2 linked regions of the Cricetulus griseus genome follow. The protein of the gene in region 1 binds, or shares a complex with, the protein of each later gene. Links are inferred from orthologs where the notes say so. Each region holds a gene or a part of one and is shown on either strand. Other genes may lie near its edges. The genes, in order: Kank1 and Eif4a1.

Region 1 (3,821 bases):
GGCAGAGGACAGTGCAGCTTATTTCCTGTCTGGTTTTGATCACAGCAACAGGAAACGATTCCCATGTTGAATGTTAGCACCCTGCCCTCCCACACTGGGAATCCAGGGAGCAGCTTTTCTTCTAGAGGTCAGATGAAGGTTGGCCTACTTGTGAATGGATAAGGAAGTGAGCAATCAGCCGGGTAGCCAGGATTTCTGGTCTCCATACTGTTATAGATTCTTACTACAGAGACAAGTTTTTAGAAAGAAAGCAATTGAGCAAACTCCCAAACACACACAACAGAGATTGTAGTGGGGGAAAGGCAAGCTGTAAACTCTCGCTCCCAGAGCAAGTGAAGGGAATTGTATGTTCCCTGGAGGCGGGAGGGGGTTGCCCTTCTACCTAGTGAAGACCTCCCCTGCTTTGCTTGTTGGAGTGAGCCCAGCAGGATCTGGAATTAATGGCAAAGGAGGATATTTTTCCTGTAACTAACTTTATGGTGTTTTGAAATGAAGGAAAGCACTGGCTTGAACCCGTGTTCCACAGAGAGAAACTTTCAAAACCAGGATCCGCCTGGTCTGACCTCTGTTGACCTGAACCGGTTCCACAGCCCAAGTGCTAGTACTATGCTTTCTGCCTGCAAGTGCATGGTCTCTTTGGCCTGTCCTCTTGCAAGGTTTATCTTGGAGTGGGACAGACTAGAAGCTGAGTGAGAAGGTTCATTTGGTGGTGATGGAAACAGACCAAGCAGAAGTGGGAAAATGTACAGTCACAGAACATCCATGTTGCTAGGCCACGGCGGCTCCCCTGTGACACTGCATTTGCATGGCTAAGTGGTCCATCGAAGGGAAAAAATCCCCAGATTTCTACCGAGAGACTGCTCACACACTGTTCCCGCCGAGTGTGATTTTGTAGGGCCGACCTGTTCACTCCCATTAAGGGACACTGGTTCTCATCATCTTCCTTTTATGAACTCAAGGGTGAGGTCTATTTATTTATTTTTGCTCTTGGCTAATGTAGTGTCAGACTATACATGGTAAATGCTGCTCAGTTGGGCTATAAAAGGAAGAGGTCTGGACGCCACCAGTCCACAAAGAGCAGGACAGAGGGGGCCCATACCCGCCCGCCTCTGGCTAGAGGCCCAGTGGTACTCACATTGTCCTCCAGCTGGCTATTGCAGCCTGGCTGGGCCAGCAACAACTTGACAATCTCTACGTGCCCATGTTCACTGGCACACATCAGGGCAGTGGAGCCCTCGTCGTCCTGGATATTGACATCAGCCCCACAGGCCAGTAGGCCCTTCACCATGTCTATTCGCCCATGGCTGACGGCCAGCATGAGGGCTGTCTGTCCTGCCTATGAAAGAAATGAGGGTCAGATTCAGAAGTACAGATTGAGCAGGAAGGCTGGGGGATGGGTGGAGTAGATGACACACAAAGGCACTGGAGCCAGGAGCTAAGGAAGAGCACATAGGATGGAGTCAGGTTTTCACTAGAACTCTGAGGATGTCTTAGTATAGCAAGGTAGATAGCTCCAAAGAGGTTCAAATTCTGAACACATTTAGGCTTAGAGCTCTGGGTCTGGCATAAAGCCAAGAAGGCAAGAGAGTTGGAATCAGTAGGCAATGAGTATATGGTGAGAACCCTAGACAGTAGGGTCCTTTGTATATAAGCATATTTGTGGTTTCCCTGCACACTGCCTGGGCGGCCAGACAAAGCCGGAAGATGTTTGCACTGTGGGACTGAACCCACGTGTCACTGCTGTGCTGGTCAGTACACGGACTGCAGCTGTCAGTGTGCCACCAGTACTTCTCTGTCAACCTGGTCACATCAGACACTGGCCAGGGCAGGGATATCTAGCATAGTAAGCAAGACACCAACCTGACTGGCCTTGGCGTTCACGTCTCCACAGCCAAAAAGTTCTTCTACAACCTGCATGTCCTTCTCTGCCTCCACGGCTGCAAGTGCTGCCAGCATGATAGGCGTGTACCCCGCCTTGTTCTGGTGATCTACGTTACACACGTCTACAAGAAAGAAATCTCTTTAGAGAGAGTCATCTAGAGTAGCAAGTGTTCACAGGAAGTGTGGCGTTTACAAGAGCCCTGGGAAAAGTGCTCTGGGAATGAAGACAATTAAGAAGGAAACACTTGTCTTTATGCCCTGTCTCAGAGCGCTGGTAGCAGCAGAAACGGCAGTAAGTTACTGCAGTGTGCCCTGCTTGTGACCGGTGATTTTGGTGGGACAGCTTGGCGGTGTGGGAGGACGTTCTAAGTGTACTCGCTCTGGAGCATAAGCCCTAGTGAGGATCTAGACCGGCACATGTTCAGAAACGCAATCACAAGACTTCTAATGCTAGTGCTTGTTCTGTGAGATCAATATTAACGCACTAAGTCCTCCAAGATAGAAAGTGCCAAAGACTACCTGACCCCATAGGCTACAGATCTTCTGTTCTCAAACCTCAAGAAGTGTTCCAGGGCTTTAATACAACACCAGGATGAAGAGTAATGGAAAGTAGCTTTTATATTGAGCAAGTATCAAGTTACAAGTGTAAGACGGGACAAGGAGAAAACTGCCCAGGACCCCACTTCATTACATAATAACACAATGGACTGTACAGAAGGACTTATGTGTAGGAAGCAAAGACTGCTGGTAGCAAAGTGGGTACACACATGTACCCAAGGTCCTCAGTCCTTCCACACAGAAGCACCCAGTGTTACATTTTATGGAGCCAAAATCTATTCAAAATAGTAAGCAATAAAAAATGTAAATGAAGTAATTAACTAAAACCACCTAACAACGGAATCAATCCAATTTGCCAAGATATCCCTTCTAGGGACTGGAAAGATGGCTCAGAGGTTAAGAGCACTGAGTGCTCTTCCAGAGGTCCGGAGTTCAATTCCCAGCAACCACATGGTGGCTCACAACCATCTGTTATGAGATCTGGTGCCCTCTTCTGGTGTGAAGATATACATGGAAGCAGAATGTTGTATATAAAATAATAAATAAAATCTTAAAAAAAGAAAAGATATCCCTTCTAGGGCAGAAAAAAAACCATTTATTTCCAGAGCAATGCTGCAATCTTGTTCTCAGCATCCCTGGGTATCAGCCACGTCCCTAGTTTAACAGTATCCCCAGCTAAAGTTTACAGATGGAAGCAGTTATCCCCTTATGTGGGCACTGGAATAGAGAACATGCAGCCTGTAGTAGCTCACTGAGAGTTCGTGTCCAGCATGCAGAAGGCTGCTAGCCATAGCTCCAACACCCCCACACCAAGAAAAGGAAGACAGAAATGGAGAATAGTAACAAATGATAAGCATGCTTGGATTCTTCTTCTTCTCTGTATTAACAGCTCCGAGATGGAGTAATGTGCATCAGGCCATCAAGAGACAATCAAGGAAACCAGGGAATTTCATCACATAAATCAGGTGTTGACATTGTGTCTTCACTGGACTGAGTTGTGAATTCTGTGTTAGTGGCATATCAAAAATACTATCTTGATGATGGAAGTGATTTGGGGGCTGTCCCACTTGGGCACATTACTGAAGGGTCACTTTCTCAAGGGGCTCCTTCTGTACTGCCCTCTCACTTTATGTGTAGTGTGACCCAGAGCTGCATTCTGGGATGGCACGTTCTCACCAGTGTCAATTAACAAGGTTTGGCGGTAATGGGAAACCCTGCCTCCGATTTTTGTCATTCTTCAGGAGTCATGGAGTTGGGCAGGAACAATGATGACTCTATTGCAGCTTTGTTGGTTGCTATCTTGAGCAACCACTCACTTCTATAGGGCCACATGGAGGCTGGCGCACAAGGACACTCTGGGCCTGTGAGCAGTACTCTGCCAC
Region 2 (2,943 bases), on another chromosome or scaffold:
AGGAGGCCCTTTCCGCATTGGTTAGGAACCCTGCCCCACCCGTGTGCATCTCCTGGTCTTCACTTTAGTTCCATGATACCAAGAGCTACAGGGAAATCCTCACCCCCAAAGATAGGCAGTCAGCATCCACATGTGTTGGGCACTTTGGGATCTTAAGCAGAACTAGGTTTTGCTGACTTCTTGACCCCATTACTGTGTTCAGTTCCTCAAGTATCATGTGATACTCGTGACTAACGTTTTGTGAAGGGTCCTGTACTGTCAGTACCAGTTTTCAGTACATAGTGGATCACTTGATATATTTTGAACACCAGCAGGAGGCAACAACACAGTAATGAACCACTATAGGAGCTGACCCACACAAACAGCAGGTGGGAGAGGAACAAACAAGAAGCCCAAACAGGCAGTTTCCAAGTAATTTTATTCAGAATTTTGTGTTTGTTTCCTGAATCAATAAATACTATACAAAACAATGTAAAAATGGCTACCATTTTCTCTCCCCTGCTCCCCTCACCTGGGGACAATTCCCTGGACAACTTCATGCAGGGACTCTCCCTGTAGATTTGGTCCAGCAAATGAGGCCAGACATGTTTTAGCCCCTTGATTCACTTTTGGAGATTTGGCTGGGGTAGTAGGAAAGTCTTTAGAATCAGGTTAGGGGAATGGATTAGTGTTTTGGGGTTGGGGGAAGGAGACGGCGCCTGGGGCAGAACCTACCCCAAAGAAAAGGGTATCTATAATGTTCACGGTTCCTTCTTTTTGCCTCAAAAAGTGACATTTATTCAAAGAGAGAGAGAGAGAAAAACAAAACAAAAACAAAAACAAGATGTCCATCCCTTGGCTCCCTTCCCTCCCCCCTCCAGCTGTTCCTCAGCCCCCCAGGACTGAACCCTGGCTAGAGCCAGGTAACAGGACAGCCCCTCAAATGAGGTCAGCAACATTGAGGGGCATCTCTTCAATGGAGGTGTTGTAGAATGTCTCAATGTCTCGAAGAGTCCTCTTGTCTTCTTCTGTCACCATATTGATAGCCACACCTTTACGGCCAAAGCGACCACCACGACCAATTCTAAGGGCAAAAAGGGATAATAATGGAATGGGGAAAGAGGATGACATTTGGATTTCAGCGCTTGGGTATTTGGCACTGCAGACCCTTACTTACCTGTGGATGTAGTTTTCCCTGTTGGTGGGAAGGTCGTAATTGATGACTAAGGAGACCTGCTGCACATCAATGCCTCTGGCCTAGGTCAAGAAAGATCACAGAACTGTCAGAGGGTACAATCTGTCCAACTGATTTAGGAATACATGTAGGCAGCCAAGGCAGGGAAAGGCAACAAACAAGCATCTCTTGTTCCCCCAGAGACCTCAGGCATGCCAGGTTTTCTTCCAAGTTGCTACGTTCCTGAAAGGGGCACTAGTCAGCCCCTTGGAGAGGGAATCACCTTGGACTCAACTCCTCCCACCCCTCTTGCTTTTCCTGAAACAGGCCTCTACTCACCAACAGGTCAGTGGTAATTAATACTCTGCTAGAACCAGACCGGAACTCCCTCATGATCACATCTCGTTCCTTTTGGTCCATATCTCCATGCTAGAAAACAAGTAGCACAAGGCTTTTGGCATTCTATGCTTAAAACACAAGCACACACAGCTACTTAGAAGATCTGAGAAAACTTACCATGGCGGAAACAGTGAAATCCCGGGCATGCATCTTTTCAGTGAGCCAATCCACCTTCCTTCTGGTATTGATAAAGATTACTGCTTGGGTGATAGTCAGGGTTTCATACAAGTCACACAATGTGTCAAGCTTCCACTCCTGGAGATCCGGAAACATCAGTCAGGGGCTATACCCAACAACTTACTACCAGGTCCGCCTCCTGCACTAGGCCCCACCTCTCTTTCCACATTGATGTAGAATTGACGGATACCCTCCAGGGTCAACTCTTCTTTCTTGACAAGAATCCGAATGGGGTCTCTCATGAACTTCTTGGTCACCTCAAGGACATCTGAGGGCATTGTAGCAGACAACAAAACTACCTAGTTGGGGAGAGAAAAGTGGATGGCAATAAGGGTTGCTTGTCCTCCTCACATCACAACCAAGCCATGGGTTATCCTATGAAGACAGCAGCTTACCTGTGTGTTACTGTTGAGCTTTTGGAATATATCATATATCTGGTCCTTGAACCCACGGCTTAACATTTCATCTGCTTCATCCAGTACAAACATCTTGATGTATTTGGGGGCTAGGAAGACAGAAAAGATACCAACACATAATAAGAGAAATGTGAAACATTTAATTAAGTCCCTTAGTAAAGGGACAGGCAAGGAGCAGTCTGCTCTCAGAATATAAGGATTGATCCTTTGCCTAAGGCCTCCCTGCCAGGCCAGAAAATAGTCCTGGTAAGTAGAACACTACCTGGGCTAAGGCAACAGGGAAGCTGGGCTCAGATGACACGCATGGGGTTCATCACAGAGCAACTAACATCCTAGGAAAGTGCGACAACTGTAAAATGGCACTCACACAGGTATCTCCGGTTAAGCATATCAAACACCCGGCCAGGGGTGCCCACGATGATATGGGGAGCTTCCATCTGCAACTTCTGCACCTCAGCACGCACATTAGTGCCTCCAATACAGGCATGACAAGAGGCACCCATGTAGTCTCCTAATGCCATGACCACCTTTTGAATCTAAACAAAAGACAACTAAGTTAGCTTCGGCTATATACACCTGGAAGTTTGTTACTTTCCCCTTTAATCCATTTATCTAAAACTCTCCTTAAGACACCCCCCCACACACAAATGGCAGAATCCTTGTTTCTGAACACAGGCTAACAGTTAAGTTTTCCATCCTACACAAAACCCTCTAAAATACCAAGCCAGGCCACGCCAGCCCTTATGGCTTAGAACTAACTCACAGGCTCCATCCTGCCATCACATTCCAAAGGCTGGG

The links.
Region 2: the proteins of Kank1 (region 1) and Eif4a1 are in contact, whole or in part, in a crystal structure (PDB 7DDX), measured with the Mus musculus proteins. The link is inferred for Cricetulus griseus from reciprocal best matches to the Homo sapiens genes KANK1 and EIF4A1. Residues at the interface, in NP_852069.4 of Mus musculus: Gly1168, Asn1169, Asn1171, His1175, Tyr1176, Val1178, Asn1201, Lys1202, Ala1203, Tyr1205, Met1209, Leu1210, Leu1213, Ala1214, Ala1215, Gln1240, Ala1241, Leu1248, Ser1251, His1252, Arg1254, Asp1273, Glu1274, His1285; in NP_659207.1 of Mus musculus: Lys99, Val140, Arg141, Val144, Gln145, Lys146, Leu147, Gln148, Met149, Glu150, Ala151, Arg168, Arg169, Tyr170, Ser172.

The regions. Positions count from the first base shown.
Region 1 is NC_048596.1:35,876,725-35,880,545, forward strand, and holds part of Kank1 (KN motif and ankyrin repeat domain-containing protein 1), read right to left. Parts: intron 2,004-3,821; coding exon 1,861-2,003; intron 1,337-1,860; coding exon 1,136-1,336; intron 1-1,135.
Region 2 is NC_048600.1:83,511,407-83,514,349, forward strand, and holds the end of Eif4a1 (eukaryotic initiation factor 4A-I), read right to left. Parts: intron 2,682-2,943; coding exon 2,513-2,681; intron 2,468-2,512; exon of another isoform or gene 2,327-2,467; intron 2,235-2,326; coding exon 2,125-2,234; intron 2,029-2,124; coding exon 1,885-2,028; intron 1,808-1,884; coding exon 1,670-1,807; intron 1,583-1,669; coding exon 1,493-1,582; intron 1,444-1,492; exon of another isoform or gene 1,298-1,443; intron 1,237-1,297; coding exon 1,157-1,236; intron 1,064-1,156; coding exon 919-1,063; 3' UTR 751-918; downstream 1-750. UniProt on the Homo sapiens protein: ATP-dependent RNA helicase which is a subunit of the eIF4F complex involved in cap recognition and is required for mRNA binding to ribosome.